Canis lupus familiaris: one gene and its partners. The main gene of each other region encodes a partner of the protein of the gene in region 2 in a complex. Links are inferred from orthologs where the notes say so. Each region holds a gene or a part of one and is shown on either strand. Other genes may lie near its edges.

What was found.
Region 1: the proteins of BCL2L1 (region 2) and BAD are in contact, whole or in part, in a crystal structure (PDB 2BZW), measured with the Mus musculus proteins. The link is inferred for Canis lupus familiaris from reciprocal best matches to the Homo sapiens genes BCL2L1 and BAD. Residues at the interface, in NP_001276645.1 of Mus musculus: Ala93, Glu96, Phe97, Arg100, Tyr101, Arg103, Ala104, Phe105, Leu108, Gln111, Leu112, Gln121, Ser122, Gln125, Val126, Glu129, Leu130, Arg132, Asp133, Asn136, Trp137, Gly138, Arg139, Val141, Ala142, Phe146, Asp193, Leu194, Tyr195, Gly196; in NP_031548.1 of Mus musculus: Ala137, Leu141, Ala143, Ala144, Gln145, Tyr147, Gly148, Arg149, Leu151, Arg152, Met154, Ser155, Asp156, Glu157, Phe158, Glu159, Phe162, Lys163.
Region 3: the proteins of BCL2L1 (region 2) and TPT1 are in contact, whole or in part, in a crystal structure (PDB 4Z9V), measured with the Homo sapiens proteins. The link is inferred for Canis lupus familiaris from reciprocal best matches to the Homo sapiens genes BCL2L1 and TPT1. Residues at the interface, in NP_001304848.1 of Homo sapiens: Ala93, Glu96, Phe97, Arg100, Tyr101, Ala104, Phe105, Leu108, Gln111, Ser122, Gln125, Val126, Glu129, Leu130, Asp133, Asn136, Gly138, Arg139, Val141, Ala142, Phe146, Leu194, Tyr195, Ala199, Ala200, Ser203; in NP_003286.1 of Homo sapiens: Phe14, Asp16, Ile17, Lys19, Ile20, Arg21, Ile23, Ala24, Asp25, Gly26, Leu27, Cys28, Leu29.

The regions. Positions count from the first base shown.
Region 1 is NC_049239.1:53,293,355-53,302,993, forward strand, and holds the end of BAD (bcl2-associated agonist of cell death), read left to right. Parts: intron 1-4,667; coding exon 4,668-4,858; intron 4,859-5,407; coding exon 5,408-5,533; 3' UTR 5,534-5,547; downstream 5,548-9,639. Other genes in the region: PLCB3 (1-phosphatidylinositol 4,5-bisphosphate phosphodiesterase beta-3), read right to left, coding at 8,386-8,589, 8,681-8,767, 9,010-9,067, 9,163-9,252, 9,333-9,409, 9,501-9,639. UniProt on the Homo sapiens protein: Promotes cell death. Successfully competes for the binding to Bcl-X(L), Bcl-2 and Bcl-W, thereby affecting the level of heterodimerization of these proteins with BAX. Can reverse the death repressor activity of Bcl-X(L), but not that of Bcl-2.
Region 2 is NC_049245.1:21,691,664-21,702,184, reverse strand, and holds the start of BCL2L1 (bcl-2-like protein 1), read left to right. Parts: upstream 1-5,302; 5' UTR 5,303-5,706; coding exon 5,707-6,270; intron 6,271-10,521. UniProt on the Homo sapiens protein: Potent inhibitor of cell death. Inhibits activation of caspases. Appears to regulate cell death by blocking the voltage-dependent anion channel (VDAC) by binding to it and preventing the release of the caspase activator, CYC1, from the mitochondrial membrane.
Region 3 is NC_049243.1:5,674,712-5,684,941, reverse strand, and holds TPT1 (translationally-controlled tumor protein), read right to left. Parts: upstream 5,250-10,230; 5' UTR 5,101-5,249; coding exon 5,073-5,100; intron 4,807-5,072; coding exon 4,733-4,806; intron 4,164-4,732; coding exon 3,973-4,163; intron 3,556-3,972; coding exon 3,450-3,555; intron 2,692-3,449; coding exon 2,575-2,691; intron 1,799-2,574; exon of another isoform or gene 1,669-1,798; intron 1,600-1,668; coding exon 1,597-1,599; 3' UTR 1,385-1,596; downstream 1-1,384. UniProt on the Homo sapiens protein: Involved in calcium binding and microtubule stabilization. Acts as a negative regulator of TSC22D1-mediated apoptosis, via interaction with and destabilization of TSC22D1 protein.

The DNA of each region.
Region 1 (9,639 bases), on a different chromosome or scaffold from region 2:
GGCTGCAAGGAAAAGAAAGTGCGAAGACAGCACAGGTGTTCTTAAACTTTGTTTTCAATACCTAAAAAGCAAGTGATTTTCCCATAAAAATCAACAAGTGCAAATGGCCTGCCAGAGCCACAAAGCCACTGCCCCCTCCAGACGGGCAGAGTCCTGTCACACTTCATACCCCCTGGCCCCTGGGTCTTGTGGGCCTGGACTGTCAGCATCCCCAGGGCAGAGACTGAGCTACCTTCTGTGCTGTGACAGGCCCTGCACATAGCCCAGTGCCAGGGACAGGCAGGTATGTGGTGAGCTGTGTGTGTGGATGGATGGTAGAGAGGGAAGGAGGAATGCCCAGTAGGTGAGGCCACAGGGTTCAAACACCACACTACCCTCTATTAGCAGTTTGAGCTTGAGCAGGCTAGTTAACTCTGTCTGCGTCAGTTTTCTTATCTGTAAAATGAGAATAGAACTAGTTCTCCCTTCTAGGTTGTAGGGAGGATCTGATCAATTAATATAGGAAAAATGTTGGGATCCCTGGGTGGCACAGTGGTTTGGTGCCTGCCTTTGGCCCAGGGCGCGATCCTGGAGACCCAGGATCGAACCCCACGTCGGGCTCCTGGTGCATGGAGCCTGCTTCTCCCTCTGCCTCTGCCTCTCTCTCTCTCTCTCTGTGTGACTATAAATAAATAAAAATTTAAAAAAAATAAATGTTTAAAAAAAATAGGAAAAATGCTTAGAAACAGTGCCTGGTCCAGAGGAATCTCTCTTCTTACTATTACTGTGATTGTTGCTGTTATTGTTACTATGAGTTGGCCTAGGCGCTGAGCAGAGTTGAGGACTGCCATTCTTTCAGTGGAGGTAGACGTGAATAACCTATGCCCTCCTGATGATGGACAAGTAAAGTATAAGTTAGAACCAGAAGATAAAGGCCTTGAAAGACACACTAAGGAGTTTGGACTTCACCTCCTCGGCAATTGGGAGCCACTGAAGGTTTTAGGAAGGGGACAGACACAGTTGGGTTTAGAGCAGGGGTTGGCAAACCATAGCCACAGCTAAATCCCTATTTTTTTTTCAGCCCATGAGCTAAGAATGGTTTTGACAGGGCAGCCCCGGTGGCTTAGTGGTTAGTGCCGCCATCAGCCCGGGGTGTGATCCTGGAGACCCGGGATCAAGTCCTGCATCGGGCTCCCCACATGGAGACATGGAGCCTGCTTCTCCTTCTGCCTGTGTCTCTGCCTCTCTCTCTGTGGGTCTCTCATGAATAAGTAAAATCTTAAAAAAAAAAAAAAAAAAAAAAAAAAAAGAATGGTTTTAACATTTTTAAAATTTTAGTGGAATATAGCAACACAGTTAATTATATATTGTTTATGGCTTCTTTCAAGCTATGACCAGCAAAGAGTAGGGCACTTTTAAAAGCTCAGTTTACACAAATGATTGTCATTTTGATGATGGCTCGGTTGGCATTGCTAAATCCATGGCTTTGGTGAAAATACCCTACCCTACCCCATTTGATAGGCTCCTGATAGAGTGGGCACTCACCAAAGGCCCAGAGGTGCCTTCCCCCAGACTGCACCCCCAAGGTGGTCCAAGGTGTTGCTGTTGGGAACCTGGGGCATGAGCATTAAGCACACAGACCCTAGAGCCAACCTGGCTGGGTTTGGATCCCAGCTCTGCCACTTACTGGCTGTGTGACATTGGGGAAGGTACTTACCCTCTCTGTGCCTTAGTTTTCTCCTATAAAATGGGGACAGTGAGGAACCTTTCTCATGGGGTGTGATGGAGATGTAATGAATTGATTCAGGTGAAGCACTTTGAACTTGACATGGCAAGTATTCTTCTGCTGGTTCTGATTCCTAGGCAAGGAGGTGGTACCCAGACCAAGTGGCCACCTGCAAGTCACTCATTTTCTGACTCTTGGACCTTGTGTCTGTCAAGTGTGGTGGTTGTGTGCCTTATTAAAAACTAGTAAAGGAGAATAGCTGACATTCCTCGAGCACTTAAGTGGCCAGGAGGGTGTGCCAGCTGCAGGACCTCTGGCAATTCCTAACCTCTAGGTGCCTCCATTTCTTCATCTGTAATATAGGGAGAACTTAGCAGCTACCTCACTGGGAAGCTGGGAGGCTTCGGGATGTAAAAGCGGCAGAACCTGGTGCTCTCCTTGTCTCATCTGTTCTTGGATGTCCTGGGAGATAGGAACTGCCCCCATTTCATAGAGGAAGATACCGAGGCCCCAAAAGGTTGGGAGAGGGCCCAAGGTGGGGCACCTGGGGGTCTCAGTCAGTTGAGGGTCTACCTTCAGTTCAGGTCATGATCCCAGGATCCTGCTTTTAGTATATGTGCTGCCGAAGTGAGCACGATCCCAGGGTCCTGGGATAGAGCCCCACATCGGGCTCCTTGCTCAGCAGGGAGTCTGCTTCCCTCTCTCCCTCTGCTCTTCTCAGTCACCTCCATGCTCCCCTCTCTCTTAAATAATTTTTTTAAAATCCTAAAAAAAAAAAAAAAAAAAGAGGAAGAAAATGGCCCAAGGTCACAGAAATCTGGTTGAGGTGGGACCCTTGCGTCTGCCCACACCCTCACCCTCCATAGAATTGGAAAGTGCTCTGTAGATGGGCCTGTTCTTATCAGGGGTCTTTCTATTCCTGACTCTCAGGCAGTATTCCCAATCCTGATTTCTGAGTTAGCTGCCTGTTCTCCACTTCCACCTCACTTCTCAAAGGCTGTATGGTGTTCCTTCCTGACATCAGGCCTGGACTTGGGTGAAGCTCAGAACAGCCAGGAGCTCTGACCACTCTCTTAATCTAGACCTTTCTGAATCGAGTACTCTCTTCACATCTTAGCTTTCTTTTTTCTTTTTTTATTTCTTTTTTTTTATTTTTATTTATTTATGATAGTCACACATGGTGGGAGAGAGAGAGAGAGAGAGAGAGAGGCAGAGACATAGGCAGAGGGAGAAGCAGGCTCCATGCACCGGGAGCCCGACGTGGGATTCGATCCCGGGTCTCCAGGATCGCGCCCTGGGCCAAAGGCAGGCGCCAAACCGCTGCACCACCCAGGGATCCCCACATTTTAGCTTTCTTAGCCACGGATCTTTCTTAGCCCCTGAAAGTGACCTGTAGGGCTTTGTGTAAGGTCCTTTGGGAGAGAATGAGACACTTGTCCCCTGGCCTCAGAGCCTGGCCTAAATCCAACTTCCTCCAAAATGCCTTCCCTGACAGATGGGCTTTGCCAGGGACCCCCAGCATGTTGCCGTGTGTTTGTTCCATGCTGTCAGTCTGTCTGTCTTTTTTAAGATTGTATTTATTGTATTCATGAGCGTTACACAGAGAGAGAGAGGCAGAGACACAGGCAGAGGGAGAAGTAGGCTCCCTGCAAGGAACCTGATGTAGGACTCGATCCTGGGACTCCGGGATCACACCCTGAACCAAAGGCAGGTGCTCAGCTGCTGAGCCCATGCTGTGTTTCACGCTGTTATGTAGCTCTGGGTTCTTGCTCCTGGGAGTGGTTCTAGGTCTTTGTTGGTCTGGATTTGGGGGTGGGATTGGCAGGAGTGGAAGGATGGCACACAGTACAGAGGTCAGAACACAGGAGAGGTGACTGTGAATGACAACTTATCATGTACTTTCAACTCTCAGAGCACTTTCACATACTTCATGTGACCTCTACACAGCCACTGGTAGTAGGGGATAGGTCTCTCCCCACACAGAGGTGAGCACACTGGTTCAGAGTTGAAGGGTGGTAGCTCAATGGCTAATTACTGGACTCGGGAGTCCAAGAAACTTCTAGGGAGTTCCAGCCTGAGAGCTTCACATTGTGTGACCTTGGACAAGTCTCATTTCTCTAAGTCTCTGTCTTATCGTCTATAAAATGGAAGCAATATTAGTACTCCTTAAGATGGTTAGGAGCATAATGAGGTAATTCCGAGGGCTGGCACATAGTAAGTGCTCCATAATCATTACCTTAAAAAGTCAACAGACAGGGGCACCTGGGTGACTTAAAGTGTCACCTTTGGCTCTGATCATGTTCCCAGGGTCCTGGGATAGGGCCACATTGGGTTCTCTGCTTAACAGGGAGCCTGCTTCTCGCTCTCCCTGTTGCTCCCCCTGCTTGTGTTCTCTGTCAAATAAGTAAATAAAATATTAAGGGAAAAAAAAATTAATAGACCCTTCCAGACTCAATCTCCAAAGTGGGTGTTCTGGGAGGTACAGACATGCTGCAGACAGGTGCTTGTTCTCCAGGGACCCAAGGTCTCCCTAGGCCACAACAGTGAAATAGATGGGCCCCCCGCAGATCACTTGCCCAGCTAAGAGTTCAGCCCTGCCTGGGGCCAGAGACCTCATCCAGGGAGTGCCCCGGGGCCCTGTGGTGTTGCACTGATAATTATACTACTTATGGCCTTATTTTGTGGCAGGCACAGAGGCAGGTCATTTGATACTCTAAGGGCCTGGCCCACTGTTGGGGCTCAATTAAGATTTGTGGGATTACTGAGAAGTTAATTCGAATCTTCACAAAAGCCCCAGGAGCTTCCCTCGCTTTACATATGAAGGAACTGAACTGGGGCTCCAGGTACCCCTGAAGGTACTGTGCACACAGAGCCATCAGCGAGAGGGAGCTGCCCGGAAGGCTTTGGCAAGGCTGGGGGCGCAAAGGAGTAGAGACTCATGTCGCCCCCGTCCCCCGTGCAGGCGCTGGGGCTGAGACCCGGAGTCGCCACAGCTCGTTCCCCGCGGGGACCGACGAGGATGAAGGAATGGAGGAAGAAGAGCTCAGCCCTTTCCGGGGGCGCTCGAGCTCAGCGCCCCCCAACCTCTGCGCGGCACGGCGCTACGGCCGCGAGCTCCGCAGGATGAGCGACGAGTTCCAGGGCTCCTTCAAGGTGAGCGCCGGCCCCCAAAGCATGTCGGGAACTGTAGTTCCGGGGCCGCTCCTCTCCGTCGGCCCTGACCCTGAGTCCCAGGGCCTGCCGGTATCTGTAGTCCACACCGTGCGTCAGAACGTTAAAGGTCCCGAGTTCCCCAGATCCTCGCGGCGCGGAGCGCGCTGGCATTTGTGCTCCCGGGCAGTCCCTTTCAGATATCCGGGTTCTTTGGCTTCAACAACTTCAGAATTCCTCAGTTCTTGGACTGCCGTCCCGGCTTCCAGAGGCTGGGTCTCGGGCTCTTCCGGGGTCCTGGCGTTCTCTCCCCGCGCCCCTGGCACAGTGTGTCTGGGACCTAATCAGTCCCGTTCCTAAGGGCCCAAATGATCCTTCGAGGCTCCTCAAGTGGACAGGAGGCCCCTCGGTGCAGGGCATGCTGGGAGCTACGGTCTTTAGGTCGGCCGGCCGGCGTCTCACTTAGCGGCGGGGTCCCGGAGGAGGAGGGCTCCGACTCGCGCTGCCAGAACAAGCTAACTCATTTAACCCTTTCCTCCTCCCACCCCGAAGGGACTTCCTCGCCCGAAGAGCGCGGGGACAGCGACGCAGATGCGACAAAGCCCCAGCTGGACGCGCGTCATCCAGTCCTGGTGGGATCGGAACTTGGGGAGAGGAGGCTCCGCCCCGTCCCAGTGACCCGTCCCGCGTCCCGAAACTCTCCCCTTCTCTCGGCGCCGCCGGCGGCCATCTTGGGTGTGGGCGGAAGTCTTTCCCGCAGGCTTGATGTAAGAAAGAGGTTCAGTTCTTTCCTTCTCGAAGGAGGCGATCTGACCCAAAGCCGATCCCCTTCCGGTGTGCACCAGGAGCACGGAGGGGTTTGGCCCCGTCGGAAGTTTTGAAGTTTACGCGCCCTTGGCGGCCGGAAGTGGCCCCGTGCCCCCGCCCCGGCCCCCGCCCGGGCTGCCCCGAGCGTCTGCGCCAAGTTGCGGGGCAGGAAAACCCTAACTTCTCCAGAGCCCTTTCCTCCGCGGCGTCGCTGCGGGCTGTCACTCGCTACGAAATGTGCTAATAAAGCCCGCGTTTGTGCCGCCGAGGCTCCTCTCTCTGTCGCCTGGGGCCTCGCAACCCTGAGAGCGTCCTCGCTTTACACGTGAGGGAAACCGAGGCTCCTCCTGAGCGGCTTCTCCTGGAACCGAGCCCGGGGAGGGGTCGGGGCGGCGAGCAGAGTGGCTGCTCGGCCTCCGGAAAGGGAAAGCGGCGCGGCGCGGGGCCGCGGGGCCCCAGGGCCTTATCTCATGTGGTAATTGGGACCTGCAGGCCGGCCGGCCGGAATTCCGCGCTCGGCAAACCGTGCCGCGGCCCCCCAGGGAGGGTCAGTTGTTCCTATTTGGGTCACTCCTTCCAAACAGCTACTGTGTGGCCGGCCTGGGGCCAGCTCTATTCAGGGAGCTGGCAGGACTTGCAGGGGGCGGGGCGGGGGGGGGAGGCTGGGCCCTGGGCTGGGACTGGACGGTCACTAGGGAACTGAGAAGCTTCACCAGGACCTGGGAGCAGAGCTGGGAGCAGAGCTGAATCCCAGAAACATTTATTGGAGCCCCCTATAGACCAGCCGGCGCCCTGCACTGGGTGTACAGAGACGAATTCCACGCAGCTCCGCTGGCCGCTGTCTGGAGCTTCCTGGGGGGGGGGAGCCCGCCCCTCGGAGTGGAGTTTCCGCCAGCTGAGGGCTGTAACAAGGACTGAGAACCGGGAGAGGGCGGCTCCCTCGGGCAGGGGAAAGGGAAAGTCAGGGAGGGCTTCAGGGAGGAGGTGAGTTAACACTGGGACTTGGAGAGAGGGGGGAAGGAGCGGAGGCCAGGATTATGAGGGGGCTAGAATGTCATACCTGGGAGTTTGGAGTTTAGCCTGGCCTGTAAGGACCCAGGGACTGATCTGGGCTGTTTCTGTAGGTAGAGGTAAGCCACACCAGGAATATAGGTCTTAGCCAAGGGGCCTGGCCACGGAATCGAATCGGAATCGAGTAGGCCCCTCTGGGGACAGGACCAGGCCTGACCACAGAAACAGGCAGGGCCTAGGCACTGGTATTAACCCCCAGGGAGCAGGGCAAAGAGGAGAGGCCCCCAGCCCTGGGAAGGACCTGCTCTGGAAGCCCTTTCTCGGTCATATCCCCACCCTGTTTGCCTGAGGCTATAACAAAAACAAAGAACACTCGATTGGCAGGAGATAAGCCCAGATAAGAGGCTGCCTTCCTCTGGAGGAGGGAGGCAGTCAGCCTGGGAAGCGCCAGGAAGCTGGGAGAGGCCTTGAAGAAATGCCAGCCTGGCCCTGCCTCAGAACCTAGCCGCACCGCGTCCGCATCCTCGCTGTGGGGTCTCTGCCACTCGCTGTCCGGCAGCAGGAGGGAGAAGCATGGAGCAGGTGCTCCCTTGCTGGCCGAAGACAGTCTGTCATAGAGGGTCCAGGCCCGCCCTGCCTCCAGGTCAGGACATCTTGACTTAGCTGTGGCCCCGCACACGTGACTTCTGCTCTGGGCCTCAGTTTCCTCATCTGTAAAACAGGCATAACATCTCCCTCATAGGGATGAGGGGGGATTCTGGTTCTCCCAGACCCTGTGAGCGTCTGTGACTGTCAGCTTCCCTTCTCACCCATTCCCCACCTATTGTATCACCAAGAGCCCGGGTCCCCTGATGTTGGGCAGGTTCTGAGTTGACCAGGTCCATCCCTGATTAGAGTCAACTGCCTGTGAGGGGCCCAGGGCAGCCTCAGCGGAAGATGTTGGGTTCTTGGGTCATATCAGGCGACAGGAAGGGGGGGCAGGGAAGGCTTCCTGAAGCAGAGGCCTGAGCCTCTGAAGGGAGAACAAGAAGAGCCCAGGAGGGAGAAAAGTAATGGAAGCAGGGTATGTGGCAAGAAGGATGAGCCATGGTTGGAGGGCATAAAGGCAGGAAAGCCTAGGGGAGGCCACAGGGACTCTGATGGCATGTCATTGGGAAGATCTGCAGGATGCAGGCAAGGAGGTCTCAAGGACCTCAACCCCACAGTGCCCACCAGCCCATTTTATAGATGAGAAAACCAAAGCCCCAGGAGGGTGGCGAGCCGGGTCCAGGTCCCCCACAGAACTGCTGCCCCCCGCCAACCACACTGCACACAGGTTCCCTGAAATCCACTTTTATTCATATAAAAAAAATTTCCAAAGGATAGAGAAAGCATGTGACCCCCACCCTACTTCCCAGAGCTCAAAATCTCTGCCAGTGTTCCCTGGGGAAGTGAGGGAGAGAGCTCCCACTCTGGGGCAGGGGTCTCATGGGGGCAAAAGCCTTGTGGCCCACAGTGGCCCAGTGCCTTCCTCAGGACCAAAGACAGGAAGGAGGGCCTGGGGACTCCTGGCCCCAGGAAGGTGAAGGGAGGGAGTTAGTGTGGGGTGCTTGCCCCAGTTTAAAAAAATAAAATTTCTAAAGATAAAAAGTTAAAAAAAAAAAAAAAGCATTAGTGTCTTAGCTTCCTGCCCTCCCAGCACCCATCCTGTGGCCACCTCTTGCTCAGCCAGTTCAGAGCTTCGTATTCTCCTCTTGGCTCTCTGAGTCAGCGCCAGACAGGTGCCCGCTGCTCCCAGGTGCGTGACCGTTGCTGGCACAGGCCACCAGGTGCCTGTCCCCCAGCCCCTCCGGTGTCTCGCCCAGCAGGCTCTGGCGGATCTCCTGGGGCAGCCTTGCCCGATGTTCCTGACACTCCTGGGCCAGCTGGGCCAGCAGCTTAGGGAGGAGGAGGAGGAGGAGTAGGACAAGCGAGACTGTGCCACCCAGCACCCTGCCCACCTGTTGCCTGCCTCACCCATGGCCTCACCTTGGGCTCCTCTTCAGCCAGCTGCTGTAGGACCTGCTGCTGCCCAGCCACCAGGCGTTCCTGCCGCTGCTTCTGGGCCTCCTCCAGCTGCAGGGGGGGCAGGGGCGGGGTCGAGGACTGGGCTCAGCCAAGGGGGCGTAAGCAAGTCAGGCAGGTGTAGGCTCCCAGGGCTGTGGGGCCAGGGTTCTGAAATGACCCTTATGGCTAAAGGTCTAGAAGCCCCTCTAGGGGAACATAGCAAGAGGCCAGGCACCGAGGAGACAAGTTTCTAATGACTGAAGGAAGAGAGGGGTGGGCGAGGGCTAGGGTGGCATCTGAGCCTCACTCACCCGACGGATGGAGTTGACCGACTCAGTGATGTGCCGACGGTTAATCTCTGTCAGTTCCCTGCAGTGAGCAGAGGGGGCTCAGTACCTGCTCCCCCCTCCGCCCCACCCTGCGGCTCCTGGCCCCCCAGCAGCTCCTGGCCCCAGGGCCCTTACGCCTCCTTCTTATGTTTCTCCCTAGTCTTGGCCTCTGAGATACTGTTGTGGCGCTTCCTGTCTAAAATCTTCTGCAATTCCTTCTTCTCCCTGGAAGAGCCCGTAGGGGCAGAGAGAGGGTCAGTGGCAGATCTGGGGGCTCTCCTCTCCTCCCAGCACCAGGCAGTCACCTCTCATTTATCTCCTTCAGCTTCTTGAACTGAGTTGTGTGAGCATCCAGGACAACTTCCCTGAGCCGCTGCTGAGCCTGTGGACACAGGTGGCCAGCAGGTGACACAGGCTGATGCCCGGTCTGTCCCAGAGGCAGGCTCTCCCTTGCTGCCACATGTCCGCCTCACCTGTCTCAGGTGCTCCAGCCTCCGCTCGGCCTCTGTGTCCACCTGAGCCTCCCGTAGCTCCAACAGACTCTGCACCTGTCTCTTCTGGAACTCCTGATACCGCTTTACCTCTTCTCCCTCTTCCTTCTCGTTCTCCCCG
Region 2 (10,521 bases):
AATCCTGGGACTCCAGCCCTGGGATGAAGGCAGCGCTAAACCGCTGAGCCACCTGGGCTGCCCGAGATAACCTAGTCTTGGAGGTGACATACCATCATCTCTGCCATTTGCCATTAGTAACACAGAACAACAAAACAATTCTGATATATTGTGACAGGGGACTACACAAGGGTGTGAATACCAGAAGGGAGGCCATCTCAGACAAGGCCGGCTGCCACAAACCCTACACTGTATGTAGATTAGTTTTTCCTCTTTTCAAACTATATATAAATGGAATCATACTTCATTATTCATGGAACATGTTTCTAAGATTCTTTCACAGTGTGTATAACTAAGTCCACTCATTTTCTCACTGTATATTACAAGTATAAATATACTATTTGTTTAAACGTTTTGTTATAATGGACACGTGTAGTTTCCAAATTTTTGCTATTATAAGTAGTGCTGCCATAAACATTCTTTCTTTAAAAGTTTGGGTTTTTTTTTTTTTTAGCAATCTCTATACCCAATGTGGGGCTCGAACTCATGACCCTGAGATCATGAGTTGCATGGTCCTCAAACTGAATCAGCCAGGTGCCCCTACTTCTATAATCATTCTTATACCTGCATTTGCACATGTGTAAGAATTATTTTAGAGTGTATATCAGAGGATCCCTGGGTGGCTCAGCAGTTTGGCATCTGCCTTCGGCCCTGGGCGTGATCCTGGAATCCCAGGATCGAGTCTCTCATCGGGCTCCCTGCGTGGAGCCTGCTTCTCCCTCTGTCTGTGTCTCTGCCTCTCTCTCTCTCTCTCTCTCTCTCTCTCTCTCTCTCTGTCTCTTATGAATAAATAAATAAAATCTTTTTAAAAAATAGAGTGTATATCAAAGAATAGAATTGCTGGGTCATAGGTTATGGGTATTAATTCTAGGTGACAATAAATTTTTTTCCAAAGTTATTCCATACTCTTGAACCACCTTGATTTTATTGGATTTTCCCATTTTTGCCAGGCTAGTGGGTATGAAATGGCATCTCAGGGAGGTTTTCATTTTCATTTTCCTTGATAACTAGTGAGGGTGAGCATCTTTTCAGATTTATTGACCACTCTGTTTCCGTTTCTCTTTAGCGTCGGTGCAAGGATTTTCTCCATTTTTCTTTTGCCTTTATCATATTGATTTCCTAGTCTTTTTCCTATGCATGGTATTTAGAGTTGAGATTGTGTCACACAACTAGTTTTATATACTTTTATTCTCACTTAACATCACACCACAATCGTTTCCTCATCATCTAAATCTCAGCAAATGTTTGTTGTTTTTTTAAAGATTTTATTTATTTATTCATGAGAGAGACACAGAGAGAGAGAGAGAGAGAGAGAGAGGCAGAGGGAGAAGCAGGCCCCATGCAGGGAGCCCGAGGTGGGACTAGATTCTGGGTCTCCATGATCATGCTCTGGGCTGAAGGCGGTGCTAAACCGCTGAGCCTGGGATGCCTGGGTGGCGCAGCGGTTCAATAAAGCCCATTATCTCTGGGCAGGGCTGATCTGCCCTCTGCTGGGCCCCCAAAGCACATCATAAACTTCCATAATTATTATTTTCATACTGAAATAATTGTGACATTGGAAGTTTCAAAAAGGAAATCAGATCACACCCTGCCCCAGTTTAAAACTCTTCCATAGAACATAATAGAGAGTTCAGAAATTGGCCCCAATACACTTAGGAATAAAGATTATGACAGGAGAGACATCTCAAACAAGTTGGGAAAAGATAATACTGCAATAACTGGGTGGTTATTTGGGAAAAAGTTGTGGATTCCTGCCTTACACCTTAGACCAAAGTGACTTTGATGGCACAAGATTGAAATGTAAAGAATGAAGCCATGTAAAAACTAAAAGAAAACAGAGAATTTGTTTTCTAATATTGAATTGGAGAAGCTTTTCCTAAGAATGACATAGAACCTGGAAGCCACAAAGGAAAAGATGGATAAATTAAAATACATACAAAATAAAAGTTTGTCCATGATAATAAACAATAAACTGGAAAAATATTTACATCTCAGATGTAGGAAAAAAAGGATAAAAATTCTATAAATCAGTGAGAAAAAGCTCAACAGAAGGACCAACTGAAAAAACGGCAAATGAAATGAACAGAGAATTCACTAGAATTCCCCCCCAAAAAGGCTCATAAATATGAAAAATTGCTCAACTTCTCTCAATGAAAAGAAATGAAAAATAAAAGTGCCTCTTGGTTTTTATCTATCTGATTGGCAAAGAAAATAAGGTTTGATAACACTGAAGTTCAAGATGTGAAGAAAGAGAAATTCTCATATTTTATTGATGCGAGGGCAAATTAGTACAACTGCTATGGAGAGTACTTTGCCAATATCCATTAGAACAAAACAAAAACAAGTTCATACCTCATTTACTGGTATTCTACTTCCAGGAATTTTCCTAACATAAACTCCCACATATGCAAAATAACAAATGGACAAGTTATAGCATTATTTATAATAGGAAAGGAATGGAAACTAAGTGTTCAGAAATAGAATACTAGGCGAGTAAATTATGGCATGTCTTTATAAGCTTGTGTTTTAATTTAAAAAACTGAGGCAGGCTGCAAACGTAGAGCTCAGTCATAAGAGCACAATGTAGAAGTGTCTATAGTAAACTATCATTTGTGTAAAAAAAAAAAAAAGTCTGTATGTGTCGGACGCCTGGGTGGCTCAGTGGTTGAGCATCTGCCTTTGGCTCAGGTCATGATCCCAGGATCCTGGGATCGAGTTTCCCATCGGGCTCCCCAGAGGGAGCCTGCTTCTCCCTCTGCCTATGTCTGTGTCTCTCTCTGTGTCTCTCATGAATAAATAAAATCTTTTTTTAAAAAATCTGTACATGTAATTTGCCTGTGAATATAGCGACCACCTCTGAGAGACCTCAGAAGAGAATGATGATCGCTGTGGGGGGAACTGTGGATTGGAAAGCAGGGAGGACTTAACTTTTTCATTCTATGCTCTTTTCATATTTTTAATATCCGGTGTTCCTATATACCTGTTTTTAACCGATCAACGCAAAACACCTCTCAGTGTTTAAAATCAAGTCTAACTCACTTCCATGGTTAACTTTCCAACCTCCTCCCACGCCACATTTCCCCTACCTTCCAGGCAACTTGCTTCTCCTTCAGTTTCTGGAACATGCCAAGATCTTCCTGCCTCAGGACATCCTGCATAAGTTGTTCCTTCTGCCTAGGTTGCTGTTCTCTAGGTTCTTATCATGGGTCAGCAAATTCTTATATTTCAAGTCTTGGGTTTCATGTCCTCTCTTCAAAGAGGCCATCCCTGGCCACCCAGTCTAAAGCAGTACCCTCCCCTCACTTCCTTTACGACAATACCCTGATTTACTTCTTTCATAGCACTAGTCACTATTTGAAATTACCTTGTTTGTGTATTTTCAAAGTTATTTACTGTTTCTTTCTTGCTCAAGGGTTTGTCTCCATGAAAGCAGGGGCCCTGTCTTGTTTCTTCAGAAACCCAAATAATAAACATTTGTTGAATAAATTTATGCAACGTACACTATGGACCACACACTGTGCTGCTACAGATTTTACAAATTACAACTCTTTCAATCCTCGCAATAACTTTAATGAGGGAGATAGGTGGTTTTCTTTGTTGTTGTTGTTGTTTTTTTTTACCTATTTTACAGTTAAGGAAATTGAGTAACATCCACAACTGACAGAGCTGGAATCCCAGGCGCAGGTTCTTAGCTACAACGCGATGCTTTTTAGATATATAAACTCACGGATGAAATTGACTGATTAAACGAACTCCTGGAAATGTGAATATAAACTTTGCCTTTTTTCTTTTTTTGCGTCTCCAGATTCCCCAGATCTGCCGCAAGGGGGCGCCCTCTCCCAGGTCTTGACGCCAGTCCTCAAGGCGCGCACTCCCTTTGCGTCTCGGGCTCGCGCGCGCTGCCGCGGCACCGGAAGTGACTGAGCTTGCAAGTTCCCCCGGTCTCTTCAGGGGAAACTGAGGCCGGCTCGATCGGAAGAGACAGCGCGAGCCGTCAGCCAGGTAGGCCGGCCCGGGTCCGCGGCGCGGAACTTGGCCACGAAGAGCCCTAGCGTCTGGAAACGACCTGGCCGACGAAGGGGGAATGTGGCCCCCCACGGCTCGCGGGGCTCGCAGGTGAGAGCGCCGCCTCCCCTGTGCGTGGCAGGCGCGGCGCCCAATGGGAGCCCTCGCCGTCCCGCTTGTGTGCCGACTGGGCTCGCTGATTGGCTGCGCCGGGGCGGGCCGCCGGGGGCGAGACCCCTCCTCCCTGAAAGGGCTAGGGGGCGCCCCTGAGGGAGAGCAGTTGCCTGGCAACGGGGCGGTGGCCCGGCGGGTACCCGGCCTAGCGCGCGGGAGAAGCCGCCAGGCCGCAGCCCACCGGCCCCGGGCTCCGGAGAGGTGCAGCCCCCGGCCCCCCGGCCCCCGGCCCCCCCGCCCTCCCGGGGGCGCCAGGAAGCTGCCTTGGGCCTGTCCTCAGGAAAACGTGGTCTCAGCTGTAGGGGGGCCGCGAGCAGGCCTCAGTCCCTCTCCCTGACCCGAGGAGAGGCCTGGCGCCTCACCCTCACCCGGTCTTTGTGCAGGGCGCCGGCGGCCATTGTGTCCGTGCGGGGAATGGAGGACCCGGCAATCCCCCCCCACCGCCTCCGCGTCCAGGGCCTTTGGGGAATTCAAGGAAAACCAGCGGTGTTTCTGGGGGGTCCCCGGCCGTCAGCCTCCCGGAAAGGCCCGAGGATGGCCTTTCCGAAGTCAGACCGCAGATCCGAGGCAGCTCCCCCCTCCCTCTGCCCCTTCTCGAAACCTTGAGCCCCATTGAGAAGTCCCTTCAGGGTTTCGGAAGCCTTACCCCGAGCTGGCACTTAAATAGAAACAACAACAACAAAAAACCTACAGCCCACACCAGCCACCTCCGGGAGAGTTCTCCTGGCTCCCAGTAGGAGGCGGAGAGCCAAGGGGCGTGCAAGAGCGAGGGGGCTGGGCTCCCGGGTGGCAGGAGGCCGCTGCCGAGTGGCCGCCCTCGATCCGGGCGATGGAGGAGGAAGCAAGCGAGGGGGCCGGTTCCTGAGCTTCGTAATTCCTGTGTCGCCTTCTGGGCTCTCAGCCTGCCGGGTCGCATGATCCCTCCAGCCGGAGCTCCTTTTTTTGCCAGCCGCCGTGAGGCCGGCTGAGTTGCCGGCATCCCGGCTGCCACCTCTTCTCCCGACCTATGGTACAAAAGATCTTCCGGGGGTTGCACCTGCCTGCGGTTGCCTGAGACGGATTTAAATGTAGGTGGTGCGGAGGTGGGGGTGGGGGCAGACTGTCCGTGGGGGTGACTTTCTGAGGAAGGCGTTTCAGAGAAAAGGGGGTGGTGAGGTACAAAAAAAAAAAAAAAAAAAAGCCGGTGTGGTGATTCAGAAAGAGCCCACGGGTGCTTTCAATTTGACTTCATTGAAGTCTTTTGGACGCTAGACCCAGACCTTCCTAAGAACCACAAAGAAACCAGTTCTGGTACCTGGAAGGGGAATGGAATATTGTAGGTTAAATGGCATGCATATTAATTTTTTTTTTTCCTGAAGCTCTTTCTCTCCCACCAGAACCTTATCTTGGCTTTGGATCTCAGAAGAGAACCACTAAGCAGAGACCAGACTCAGTGAGTGAGCAGGTGTTTTGGACAATGGACTGGTCGAGCCCATCCCTATTATAAAAATGTCTCAGAGCAACCGGGAGCTGGTGGTTGACTTTCTCTCCTACAAGCTTTCCCAGAAAGGATACAGCTGGAGTCAGTTTAGTGATGTGGAAGAGAACAGAACTGAGGCCCCAGAAGGGACTGAATCAGAGATGGAGACCCCCAGTGCCATCAATGGCAACCCATCCTGGCACTTGGCAGACAGCCCTGCGGTGAATGGAGCCACTGGCCACAGCAGCAGCTTGGATGCCCGGGAGGTGATCCCCATGGCAGCGGTGAAACAAGCGCTGAGGGAGGCTGGGGATGAGTTTGAACTGAGGTACCGGCGGGCATTCAGTGACCTGACATCCCAGCTTCACATCACCCCAGGGACAGCATATCAGAGCTTTGAGCAGGTAGTGAATGAACTCTTCCGGGATGGGGTGAACTGGGGTCGCATTGTGGCCTTTTTCTCCTTCGGTGGGGCACTGTGCGTGGAGAGCGTAGACAAGGAGATGCAGGTATTGGTGAGTCGGATCGCAGCTTGGATGGCCACTTACCTGAATGACCACCTAGAGCCTTGGATCCAGGAGAACGGCGGCTGGGTAAGGACCACGCCCCTTGTGTATACTACCTTTCCCTCAGCCTCTGATCGAAGAGATCTCCAATAGCCTTCTCACCCATATCTCTTTCTGTTGTGCTGGGTGGTTATTGGAGACTGCTTGTTAAGGAGAGGTGACCTCCCTGCACCACAAGAGGTTAACTGTTCTCAAACACGGGTAACCTAGTCTTGAAAGGACCAAGCATCTTTCATCCTGGTCACTCTCATGACCCCACTCTTTCATAATTGTGTTCCAGTTTCTCAGCAGAGGAAAACATAGCCTGTGTGTTTATTTGGCCCCAAATCTTTGCGAGTGGGAGGTTATTCTAGTGTTCCCCCACAGCCTGACAAAATGGCTCACCACAAAAAGGGCTGATGAGTGTAATACCTCTGAGCCCCTTCATTCTTACTCCCCCAGGGATGTCAATCTTATCCTGGGCTTCCTTCCCTCCCACAAATTAAGTTCCGTTTATTTCAGAGTTTGCATATACATGTTCCTCTTGTCTCAGACGCATACATATTCGTCTCCTCTCAGAATGGGGCATGGCCAGGCAGAAGTTCCTATAGTGGCTTGGATGGCTGAGGATTGTCAGATTTTAGGGCAGTGGTAAGCTGTGCCAGTGGGCTTGTTGCGTTTGTGCTGCACTCCTCTGTTCATTTGCTCTAAAGTGTGCAAACTTTCTGTATGGTTGGCCTGTTTGTGGAGCTCTTGCTGTGTCACGCAGTAAGCCTGGGGACTTTGCACCTCACTGCCTGGGGTCGGTTGGAGAGCTCTAGCTGTTCTGCCTGTTCTTTCCGGCCAGGGCCCTAGGGCCTCTTCACGAGCACTGTTGGCTGGCAAAGCAAGAACCTGGTCTGTGGGGGCTCTTTGGGATATTGAGATTCAGTGACAGACTTCAGAAACAAACTGACATAGGTTTGAGTTTCAGCCCTGTCACTCACCCAGCTGTGCGACCTTGGACAGGCCACTTTACCTTGAGCCTCTCAGTTTCTTACACTAAAAAAAAATGGGGCAGAGTGTTGTAAATCCTGGAGCTAATGAGAGCAGTGACTGGCACCAGCAAGTTTCTGTAGTAGTTATTGGTTCCAGACACACTTTGTGGGCCTAGGAGTCATGCCCTCATTCCTCTCCTCCCCAATGGAGAATTCTCTTGCCCAACACCAACTTAGGAGCAGATAGTGGTGAGAAGTTCTTTAGGAGTGCTCATTGTAGGCAATTTTTGCCCTACAGTGAACTCAATCCTCATTTCCTTGCTTATCTCCTTGCCTAGGGGAGATGCAGGGCTTGTGGGGGGTATTCGGCCCCCTCAGAACACCCAGAAAATTGAGCAGGCTGTGGAAAATAAGTCATCTATTGAAGGAGCTGAGGTGGAAGGGCCCAAGTACTACAGATTCAGGAATGTCAAGAATGCAAATTATCCATAGGCTGGGCCTAGGGCGTGGCACTTCAGTTTACCTCTGAGCCAGAGACCGCCTAGTTTGCCCTTCCCCCTGTCTTATTTCCCATTTCTTTGCAACTTCATTAACTCTTCCTGCTGCCAGTTCTTGTAAAACACAAAGGGGTCAAGTCAATAGAGGTCAGATGACTGGGGTGGGGTTGGGGGAGGTAAAGGTGGAGAGCTCTAGAGCTAAGGCTGACCAGACTTGAAAGCCATTCTGTAAATGAACTCCCTGGGGGGATAAATGATTAAATAGTTCCTGTTGGTTTGTGTGATGACCTCGCCTGTTCCCTCCTGCTTTGATTCTCTTTGGGGGCAAATATTTGTTCAGCTGATTACAGGAGAGACAGGATTCCAGCACTTCAGACAAAGCCTCTGAGGCATCTCCTAGTAGAGACTTGGGCCTTGTGCCCACCTTGCCTGACTATTGTCTTTGGCCAGGGGTGCTAATACCAGGTGGGTTGTTGCCAGCTATTAACAAGAGGCAGTCTGGGAGAGGTGCCTATTCTATCGACCAGCCTCTGCAGAGGACTACCTGGATCAGAGAATTGCCGGTCACCCAGTACTGTATATACGGAAAGAAGTTTTAGACAGCAGCACAGGGAAAGTTCACTAGATCACCCCTGGATTGAAATTCCATCTTCTGTCTCTGCTCAAGAATTTTCAGAGCCCGTTAGGCAACATACCATATGTACTTCCTCTTGGTGAACAGGGGATGTGTGCAGAAGAGCCAGTTATGTCAGCACCATTTCTGGGCACTCATGCTCCCTGAGGCCAGGAGGTAAAGAACATTTAAGTAGAGATCCTTTGGATGGAAGCTACCCACTCACTTCCCTTTCTCGTACCATCCTGTTTGAGCTGCACAGGCTGGCTACCGCAGTAGCCATCTCAAAACCTTCTTGGAGGCTGTGGTGAATCCATGAGGGTACGACTTACGGGCCATTACCACGCTGGGATGTGCTCTAAATTTAGCATCCCTACAGAAAAGTGGAAGGAAATGAGCCTTTATAAAGTGCATCCTATGTATGAGGCATTGTCTTGAGTCTTTTACTTATGCAGCCAGAACGTGCTGATCATCTATTATGAGGCAGGCACTGTGCTGGATGCTGGCAGTTAGCTGCACATGATACCTTCCCTCATGGAAATGACATGCTATTTCACATATCTCACACAATAACTTTTCAAGGTAGGTAGGTTTATTCCCAGTTTACATGTGAAGCCCCTGATAGCTCAATGACTGGCTCCGGGTATCCTTCAGCCAGTTAAGTGACTGAGTGAGAATTTTCACCTAGGTCAGTCAGCCTGACTCTGAAGTCTTTTCCATCCGTATCAGGTTGTTCTAGGAGTAATAAATTGACCCGGATATCCTGGCACAAAAAGGCAGAAATGCTGTTGGGCCAAACAAAACATGCTTGTGGAGGTGCTCACTCTGGTCTGTGATCCTGACATTATTCAGGTAGCTGCAGGTAGAACGGTGCCTTTGTTGGCAGGAGCATATTCCCAAAGGAATGTGTATAGCCTCAGATTCTGACATTGGTAAAACTCGAGTAGGAATCAGGGTTTTGCCTAGTCAGAGTGGCCTTCTTGTTAATTCTTAATTGTTAAACCCTCTCAGGCTCTGCCAATAGATAAGAATCATGTGCATGTGGAGAGAAGGTGGCCTGCTTCAGATATATCTACTTAATTATGGGTGAGCTCCAAGGACTGGAATTCCACATGTAGCCACACCACTGCCTGCTTGAAGTCACCTGGCAAGATGCTGAACCTGTTTGTCTCTCTTGTCCATCCATCTCTTCTACATGTAAAATAGAATAATGTCAGCCACCTGCCATAGCTTGACTCTAGTAAAGAATCTAGAACAAAAGCCCTTCCTGGGCCATAATTGTAGGGTGGAAGCACCTCGTTTAGTGAGTAGGTCATCTGCCTCAGAAAACTGAACTCTGGCCCCATAGTTTCTCAAGAAACAAAGCCAACTCCTAAGATACTCATCTAGAATGGAACCTGATGTGACCTATATAGGGACAGAGCGTTTTGGGAGCTTTCCAATGGGAATGTGGACAGTTTTAAGGTGAGGACCTAGGTGGGCTAGGCCATTTTGGAATTGCTGTCCCTGGGAAACCCCTTAGCTCGATTGAAAACCATTGTCAAGAGCGATGAACAGTCTGTGGAGAGAGGAAAAATAATTTGGCCTTTCCGAGGCTGCATGGCTCTGTGGTCTTGTAGTTTCTGTAGGTTTCTTGCCTATTCTGGCTTCTTTGGCATGGCTGTATGCTGTCTGAAGCACCTCAGTGACCTTTACAGATCTCAGCAGCTGTTGGCAATTCTGTGGTTTTCTTGGGGAAACCCCATTAGAAACCCCAAACGTGGAAATTTTTAGTAATCTCATTCAGGTCCCAAAGTGAGGTAGAAATGTCTCAGGGACTCCACCTCAAAACACCCAATTCTTCTGGATGTATATTTGAGGTTGCTCTTGAAACTCTGTCACTATCACAGGATTTTCCAGACTTCCTGGGACTAATTTCCCCAGTGGCCCTGTAGAGCCCTTCAACTTCTGGAAGAAAATTACCCAGGTGTTTTTTCAAGGGGTCCCAACAGAACCCAGAAAGTTTTCTTGACTTTTGTGTGGGCAGTCACCAGATTTGTCTGGGCTGCAGGAAGCAGCAGTTGTTAGCTGTCCTTTCCCCAGCAGGTATCTGTCCTGAAGTCATCATTTTCCAACATCCTTAGCCTTCTATCACGGGGCTCACTTTCAGAACCATGATCTTGTCTGGGTTTGGCAGGGATAGATTTAGGGGTAATTCCTAGTGAGCTTCTCT
Region 3 (10,230 bases), on a different chromosome or scaffold from region 2:
CTCTCTACTCCGGTCAGACCTCTCCTGTAATCAGGTGTTCAGGATCACAACACTGACCGCGGCCCAAAAATTCTCCCATTTCAGAGAGGGCTGACTGGTCTCCTGGGTCAGCAACTGGCACTTTTTCTGTATTTTAAGGTCAGGTCAGAATGCTTAAAATTGCCACCTACTTGACTAGTTTCCAGTATTTGAGTTTGCTTCCACTAATCACCAGGGGGCACCATCAACCTTAGTGTCTCAGGCTGTGACCCACATGATGGACTCCCAAACCTCTAGGGCAAATTCCAGACAGCTAAATCACTGGATTTGCCCAAGTTCACATGTCTTAGGAGATGAGTCACTGGCTTGCCTTCAATTTAGTTTTAACCCTTAAGCTCTTAAGAATGGAATTAAAAGGCAAGGATCTGGGAAGCCATCTTCCAACACTTCTTGTAAACTCCAATTTTAGATCCTTTTAGTAAACAAGATCTTCATTGTTAACCAAGTCACTCCTGAGCTGCAGTTTTTTTCCCTGTACTCCCCCATTCAATCTCAACTGCCACCGTCAGGCAGCTAGAAAGCGCGAGGATACCTTTTTCTTGCATCTCTAGCAGAAACCTTAGAGGCAGATAGAAACTGCTCTAGGTCTGTCACATGGATGCATTTTCCTTATTCTCCTTCAGACACCCATAGCCCTTTCAGATACAACAGGACACAACCAGCTATCCCACATTCCATCTACAACTTCATCTTTTAAAGCACGGCTGACAAACCTTCTAAGGAGTCACATGGTTGTTTTAGACTATGTAGGCCTTAAGGTCTGTCCTACCCTGCTCTTAGGAGCATGGCAATGTTCAAAAAAAAACCAGATACAAATTTTAAGTCTTCGTACTTTTCATATCCCACCAGCTATTTTTTTCCATTTAAAAAATATAAACACCTTAAAAGTCACCCAACAAGTGGCGGGACAAGCCAGTTTGCCAGCCCCATTCCAGATAGTTTGACACAAGCATTCCAGGAGATGTCTAGATTTCTCTAGAACTTGGCTCTACTTAAGATAAATAAGATCAGACAATACTTTGCTTCCAACTGTTATTAGTCTCTTTTTATTCTTTTGGCAATCTCTTCCAGAGTTAACTACTTCCGTTTGTAGGTGATGAAATGTGTAAGGAATCCACTTCAAATGTTGGCCCAGCTATGAGCATGGTCTTTCCCTTTACTTGAACTCAGAATTAAGACTTTTGGTTCTTGTTTTTTATATTCCAGTCCCAGAAGTAGCTTTCACTGTAGAAGTTATCTGCAGGCAGTCTTATGCTTTCTAGCAGTAGTCTACAACCAGGCTCTAGCTTCTTCAGGACACTACACAGAATGGATTTAAAAATGTGTTAAACTAAGAGGCATTCTCTCAAATGAGTTTAAATGCATTTTATTTTTAGACAACCTACATGACATGTTTTTTTCTTAAAAACAATGCCTCCGCTCCAAATAAATCAAGGTCAAAATAAAGAGCTCAAGATGACATCAGTCCCATTTGTCTAAGTCCTGGTGTTGTGTGGATGAAGAGCAGCAGCCAGTTAGGACAACAGGTGATACATCCAAAGTTAACAGCCAAGTTCGTTACTGTAGAAACAAGACAGGGTATTAATCCACTTTGATCCAGTATGAAAACAGTTAACCCTTCCACGCCACCGATGTACTCCCCTATTCAATCTGGGCTGCCACAGGGACAGACAGAAAGCGCAGGGATTTTTTTCTCTTGCATCCTAGTGCAAACCAAAAGAACAACAGCCAATTGTTCAAGGTCTATCAGTGGATGCAGGACTATCCTCACCAAAGCAGGGGTGGCACATTTTCTAAAAAATCTCATTCTGAAGCAAGTCCCACTCACACACATACTTTTTGTTCTACCAACAAAACCCGCAGATATTCCTGGAATACTTTCCGTAGCAGCTCATGCAATCTGAAGACATTTTTGTCCGCTGAGGCCTCTTCTCTTATTTAGGGTAGCCTCAAGTTTATCTTGTTCCTAATTTATATGGAAGCCTCTGAAAGCTAGAATAATGAATGCTCTCATTTCTGTACGGCCTCCAATAATTCCTTGCATAGTAGACATTCATTTAATTGTACTAAAGGATTCTGCATACTGGATAAGCAGCCAGCTCTAACTTTATTTACTAAAAGTTAGTAACATCAAGGCTTCCAGTGACCAGTTGCCAATCATCAGTAAACCAAAGTGAAAAAGGCCTAGCGCCATACATGCCACTCACGCACGTATGCGTGGCAAAATACGAAGAGAAAGACTTTCTATGGGGGGAAAAAAAAACAGAATGCAGTTTATCTCCAGTTTAGTACATAAGCTGGGATTTAAGCCATCTACATGAAAAGCTTTCTGTATTTCTAAATGCCTTTTCTGTGCCGTAAAAATCTTGTATGCAAAACACAACCCTTTTAGACTCCCAAAGAGAAACCAGAGTTGGACCTACATTGTGGAGACTGCTGTAAAACCCATTCTAACTACCCAACAGCAAGAGACAGTCACACAGAAGATGTCTCCACTTTTACATTACTGATTTCAACCCACTTCCTTATACTTACACATTTTTCCATTTCTAAACCATCCTTAAAGAAAATCATATAAGGGGTCACACCGTCCTCACGGTAGTCCAGGAGTGCAACCATGCCATCTGGATTCATGTTTTCACCAATAAAGAACTTAGGGAGCAAACAACAAACACCCAGAATTAGGCCATTATATACAGATCGTATCAAAACAATCTACAGTAAAACAAAGGATTCAAAACACAATTTAAGAGATTTTCACAAGAAAAAAAAGGAAAAAAAAACTACTACTCAAACCTCTGTTCACCAAATGAGAACACTAACAATTGACCAGAGTACAGAGCAATCCAGAACACTTCAGGCTTTCTGGAAACACTCTCTCAACCCCACATATACAATTCCAACTCTGTTAAAAAGCCTGTTTATGTCATCAAACAGCGAGAGAGCAGGTTATAGGAGGAAAGTTATCTTCTGGCCAGAGGACTTGTGAAAGCTGGAAAGTCAAAGAGCCAGGCTGTAAGGAGTTTTTTTCTTTAAGTTCTATAAAGCGCCAAGGGAGAGTCACTGAGTTTCCCAACAGAAGTGTAGAAAGAACTCCAGGGGCAATGAGACTGGAGTTGTAAATAAAAAGACAGGAGGTTACCAAGCAATTCTAGACCGGGAGAAATGAAACCTGTCATCTGGAGAGTAGTAGGGATGAGGTTCTACAATCAGCAGGCAAGATCTAGAAACACACTTGGGAGCAGGAAAGGCCACTTTCCACAGTGAAGACTACTGGAAAGGAATCTATGAAGTATTTAAACTGCTCAGAAGACCCAGAAAATAATCCCGTTACATCAGCGACTTATCAAGTCATTTGTTGCTCTGGCAGTTACAATTGCACAATTCTGAGAAACATTTATAGTATTTACCTGGTAGTTTTTGAAATTAGCAAGGATGTGCTTGATTTGTTCTGCAGCCCCTGTCATAAAGGGCTTTACTCTTTCTGGCCTCTGTTCTTCAAGTTTGCCTTTGATTCTAAAACAGTATTTTATTGACAGGTTAAAGTACTCAGTTCTCAGCAAAACAAATTTTTTCAGTAAAAAAAAAAAAAAAAAAAAAAACAAACAAACAAGCGCTGAAAAGGGCAGCTGGCTGTCACCGGGCAAAAATTCACATGGCACAATCAAGAAACTACTAGCTCACAGGAATGAAAGTTTCAAGTCTTGACAATTTAGGGTTTCAAGTTATTCCCAAAGTACTTCTGAAGAGCTAAAACCACACTTCCAGCTGCGGTATGCTCACATTAGTTTATTTATAGGAAGGCATCAGTCTGTGAGCTCATCAACAAGAAAGCCTTTCCCAAGCATGCCTGCTGCTAAAGAACCTCCAGGTTACCTTATCCCCAAATCCCGCAGGGCTGACCTTAGGGTGGGCTGCGCCAGGACCACTTACGATTTCATGTAATCTTTGATGTACTTCTTGTAGGCTTCTTTTGTGAAGCTGGTTTCCTGCAAGTGATGGTTCATGACAATATCAACACCGGTGATTACTGTGCTTTCGGTACCTTCGCCCTCCGGGCCTTCCGCGGAGGCATTTCCACCAATGAGCGAGTCGTCAATGTTACCCTCTGTCCTACTGACCATCTACATTAAGGAGAGGAGGAGGAGAAAAGAAAAAAAACATTAAGGAGAGGAGGAGGAGAAAAGAAAAAAAAAAGTCCGGTTTCAGACGTTTTGGACCTTTGCATAAAGGCATTCCCCACTAGATCTTCTAGGTCAGCAGTTCACACAATCCTCCTCCCACCCAACACTTCGGACTCTTGCTAAAACCCACGAAGACGGCGTCGTAGAGAAAGAGAAAAATAAAATAAAATAAAACGCTCACGCCCCTCGAAATTCCTCCAACACCGAGACTCAACAAGGATTCTTTGTTGGGCCAGAAGGGCGGCAGGGCCCTTCACACCCCGGTGGAGGGTGCGCGGCAAGGCCGGCCGCCCGGGAGGAGGATGGGCGCCAGGCGGCGGGGACCTATTTCCAGGCTCAGCTCCGCCTCCACTTTTCTAGAAAAACCCGAGAGCCCGGAAGAGAGCGTCCCCTCCGCCAGGAGGCAGCGGAGAGGATTGCACAACCGCGGGCGGGGGAGCGAGCGGCGGAAACCCGAGCCCGCCCGGCCTCGCCGCCGCCGCCGCCGCCGCCTCCGCCGCCCGACTCACCTTCCCCTCCACCTCCAGGCACAGCCCGTCCGCGATCTCCCGGATCTTGTAGATGTCGGAGAACATCTCGTCATCTGCTCGGGGACACAGGCCCGCCCGTCACCGCGCGCCCGGGGCTCGGGGACCCGCGCCGCCATCGCCCGCGCGGGCCCGGCTGCTCCCGCCGCGCCCGCCGCTCCCGCGCGCCCGAGCCCCCGGCCCCCACCCGGGCCCGACCCCTCCTCGCCCCGGAGAGGGGCCGGCGTCCTCCAGGCCCGCGCGGCCTCCCCGCTCCCGCCCCCCGCGCGGCCTCCCCCGGGCCCCTGCGCGCGGCGGCACGGCGGGTGCAGCCACGACTCACGGCTGATGAGGTCCCGGTAGATGATCATGACGACGGCTGGAGACGGGCGGCGGCGGCGCGGGCTTGGCAGGAGCCGGGAGCTCGGGGCGAGCGCGCGGCAGCCGGAGCGGCACTCGGGGGGAGGGGGGAGCGGGCGGAAAAGGCCGACTCAGCCGCTCCCCAACCTCATATAGAGGGCACGTCCCCCTACGTCATCGCCCGCGGCGCCTCCGGAAGCGCCGCGCGCGGTGACGTGGCACGCACGGCCGCGCGGGGGGCGGGGCCGCGGCGAGCATCCGGGGACTTGGCCGCGGGGACACAATGGCGCCCTCCGCCGCGCCCGCGGCTTCCCGCGGCTTCCCGCGGCTTCCCGCGTCCCGGCCTCCCCGCCCCGCGGAGGTGCCGAGCCTGCTGCGGCTTCGAGGAGGATGGCGGCCCTTCAGGCCTCCGCGCCCGCCCGTTCCCGGGAACACAAGCGAGCCGCCGTGGAGGACTTGGCGTTTACGGAAGGTCGGGGCCCGGGGAGAGGGTGGAGCGAGGCCGTCCGCGGGGAGGGGGTGGGGCGCGGGGCAGTCGGCCTCGCTCCAGGCCCTCGGCGGGGGGAGGCTCCCTGCCCGGCCGCGGTTTCGGGGCGCCCCGTGCGGCTGCGGTGGCCCCGCCGGCGGGGAGGGGGAGGGGCTCCCGGCGGGCTTCCGCGTGAGGAGGCCGCGGCCCGTCGGGGACGCCGCTGCGGAGCCTGCCCGTCCCTTTTTGCGCTTGGCCTTGGACCCTGTCCTCCGAGCGAAGAAAGAAAAAAAAAAGAGCTCTAGCGTCCGTCGACGATGACCTCGAAGATGACCTCGAAGGGATAGCCCAGCTGCCACAGAGTCGGACGGAACTGGGGGGACTTCACGTCCAGGTGTCCGGTTCGGAGCAAACGCTCAAGGAAGCCGTTTTGTTTCCGTTTTGGTGGGAAACCGGAGAGCTCGTTAAATTCTACAGATACTTTTATGCCCTGCAAGGTCCGTGGCACCGGGTTTTGTACGGAGCTCCCAATCGTGAGCAAGTTAAAACCAGATTTTTTACACAATTTTTCACACAAATTTTTTTTCTTTTTTTTCAAGATTGTATTTATTCATGAGAGAGAGAGGGAGAGGCACAGGCAGAGGGAGAAGCAGGCTCCATGCGGGGAGCCCGACATGGGACTTGATCCTGGGACCCCGGGGTCACACACTGGGCCGAAGGCAGACGCTCAACCATGGAGCCACCCAAATGTCCACTTTTCCACTCTATCATCTATCTATCTATCTATCTATCTATCTATCTATTTATCTATCTATTTTTTTAAAGATTTTATTTATTTATTCATGAGAGACCCAGAGAGAGGCAGAGACACAGGGACAAGCAGGCTCCATGCAGGGAGCCCGATGCGGGACTCCATCCCGGGACCCCGGAGTCATGCCTAAAGCAGACGCTCAGCCCCTGAGCGCCCCAGGCGTCCCCCTCACAGAAACTTTTGTTCTGGTACATCAAAGAAATCAGGCAATTCTATATCAACTCCCCTCCCCCCCCCCCCCCCGTAAATCCAGTAAGCCCCTGAGCGCCCCAGGCGTCCCCCTCACAGAAACTTTTGTTCTGGTACATCAAAGAAATCAGGCAATTCTATATCAACTCCCCTCCCCCCCCCCCCCCGTAAATCCAGTAATGAAGCATTCTGCACAGAGAGCAACTCGAAAAGAGCAGAACCCAGAACAGTGAATTGAGATGAAGGAGGAGTCAAAATGTGCCCTCCCCAAAAAGATGTGACCTGGAGCTGCACCGAACACCCCATCTGAGCATCTGCCTTTGGCTCAGGTCGGGGTCCCCGCAGGGAGCCTGCTTCTCCCTCTGCCTGTGTCTCTGCCTCTCTCTGTGTGTCTCTCATGAATTAGTAGATAAAATCTTAAAAAAAATCTGTGCCGGGGCACCTGGGTGGCTCAGGGCATGAGGTCTATATTCTTGCGATCAAGCCCTGAGTTGGGCTCCTGGCTCAGTGAGGAATCTGCTTCTCCCTCTGCCTCACTCCCATGCTCAAGCTCTCACTTTCTCTTTCAAACGAATAAATAAAACGTTTTTTAAAAAAATTAAAAATCTGCACCAAATCTGAAAATGCCTACTTAGAACACAAGTACTACAAATAGGGAAAATTATTCATAAATAATTACAAGTCACTAACAAAATTGGAAGGATTTGGTCTTTTTTAAAATTTTTTATTCATTTATGATAGTCACAGAGAGAGCGAGAGAGAGAGAGAGGCAGGCTCCATGCACCGGGAGCCTGATGTGGGATTCGATCCCGGATCTCCAGGATCGCGCTCTGGGCCAAAGGCAGGCGCCAAACCGCTGCGCCACCCAGGGATCCCAGGATTTGGTCTTTAACTAATTAGCTTTTACTTTGGCATCATTTGAATGTTTTTTTAAGTAGGCTCCCCACCCAGGGTAGAACCCAAAGAGAGGCTTGAACTCAACCCTGAGATTATGACCTGAGCTGAGATAGTCAGGTTCTTAACCAACTGAGCCACCCAGACACCGCTGAAATTTTTTATAACATTTTCTTACAATGATTTGTTCAGTGATTTCTTTTTTTTTTTTTTTTTTTTTTTTTTTTTTTGTTCAGTGATTTCTAACAAAACCTAAGGTTGTCCTAAATTTTACAGCTGAATATGATTTGGGATCTCTTGAAGTTAAAGAGGTCTCAAAGACATTGTCTTCTGGCCTCTTAACTCAAGTCCTCACATGAAAAAAGTACCTCAGAAGGGTTCACCCTTTTATCAGTTCAGGGTTGCTTACGGTGGCTTAAACACGTAAGGGTTTATTGATTCTCTTGTATAAAAGAAATTCAGGAATCTGCAGTCCAGACACGTGTGGTGACATCATGGGCGTCAGAGGCCTAGGATTTTCCTTTCTTCACCACCGATATGGCCTGCAACAGAGCTGGAACTCCAGCCATCACATCCACCTCGCAAGCTGCAAGAAAAGGGGAACAACAAAAGTATATTCCAACTGTGTTTCCCTCCTAAGGAGCAATTCTAGAAGTCCTGAAAGAGGACTTCGTTGGCCTCCATTTTGACCTCAAACTTTCTAGTGGGGTTCTTTCCAGCTTTTCCCTTGGCTCAGGTGGAAGAGCCTGAAGGCAAAGCATCCCCTGATGAGAATCAGAACTACCCCCTGAAGCAATAAGGACTGCCCTGAGCCAGCAAGTCACCACCCATGATAGACTCTTAAGACTATGATGGATTTAAACCTTCCTTCACTGCCCACCAGCACTTACCCACCCACCTTTGCCCCACATTTCCCTTATACATACCTGGAAGTATTTTCAACCTTTTGGAGATGGTCTTTGAACCCCTACTCCTCTGTCTTCCCAGTGTTGGCCTCACTGAAATAAACTTTCTTCTTTCACCACCACTCATCTCTCTGCCTTTGGACTTTGTCAGCGGCAAGTGGTTGAACTTGGTCTGTTTGGGAATCTCAGAGGCAGGTGCTCTTGCACCCCTGTGTCCTGGCTACAATCATATTGAGCAATTACATGGATGCAGCTAGTTGCAGTGAAGGCTTGAAAGTTGTGTTTACTTAAGTTACAGAAAATGTAGTTTACTTAATTCTTTCCTTCAGAGCAGAGCTGTTGAAAAGAGCTTTGATAATGGAAATGTTCAGTATGTGCTCTAATACAGTAGCCACTAGGCCCCAAGTAGTTAGTATCTGAAATGTGGCTAGTGTGGCAATGGAATTATTTACTTCTATTTAATTAATTTAAATATCCTTGGCTAGTAACTTTTATTGGACAGCAGAGCCCTATGATATAAACTCTATGAGTAGGGGTCTTTGTTAATTGCTGTACCTCAGGAGTCAGAACAGGGCTTGACCCAATAATTGTTGATAAATGAATGGATGAAATAAAGTTTCATTTCTCTTAATTAAGTCAAATCCCATCTCAGTTAATAGGATTCAGCATAAATCCAAGACCTAGTATAACAGTGCTTTTCAGAGAACTGGGAAACAACTTGGTGAATAGTGATCAACTTAATTAAAAATGACAATGAGAAGAAGATAGAATCACGTGTAGTAAAGGTGAATATTGTTTCATGAAACTTAGGTTTTAGATTTACACATGTATATGAGTACTGGATCTGAACATAAGACATATTTCTTCATGTGGATCTAGGTCAAAAAGTTTTGAAAGCCATTGATTTAGGCAACTTTTCAAATATATTTCTTGGCAGCTTCAACTGGTCAATGTCAGTGGATGATTTTTTTTTTTTTTTTTTTTTTTAAGGTGCCCCAAGATTTGGTCAGCATCTACTTTTTGACTCTGTGGCCTTTGGACAAGGCTCATGTTTTTGTCACAAAGTCTCGTGTTAATGTTCTATGACCTTGCTCAACAGTACCAAGGCCTGTCTGGGAGTTCCAGGCCAGTTGCAGGCAATATCTAGGTCTAGCTGAGAAGACAGGTTCTTAGTGAAAGGAAGCAACGTAATTAATAATAACTTCTTTTAGTGTCTTTGATGAATGTAAAATGATCGTTAGAATCTAAGATATTCTTAGATATTTGAATATTTCTTTTAACTTTGAAACATAGGACTTAAATTATCTGGCTTAAAAAATCACAATACATGTAATAAAGCATTTATAAACCATAGAGAAAAACTACAGATAACTAGTCTTGATGTTAATATTCCCCCATCAATGTTCATAAACTTTTTACAGAGTAAGGTAGAGGAAGGGGGTGCCTGGCTGGCTCAGTCAGTAAGGTGTACAACTCTTACAACTATTGATTTCGGGTCATGAGTTCAAGCCCCACATTGAGTATAGAGCTTACTATAAATACATACATACATACATACATACACACATATAAATAGATAATAAATGTATTTTTTTAAAAAACCACATCAGGAGAGACTCTTCATCAGATGACTTTTAAGCATAGGTTACTGTTTGTTTTAAGCCTGCTTTAATCTATGAATAAGCCAACTTGAAGATTTCTTGGTTGGGGCTACTTGTAATCATTTTTAGACTAGATTTTATTTATTCATGAGAGATACGGAGAGAGAGGCAAAGACACAGGCAGAGGGAGAAGCAGGCTCCCTGCAGGGAGCTGGATGTGGGACTCCATCCCAGGACCCCGGGATCACGCCCTGAGCCAAAGTAGACACTCCACC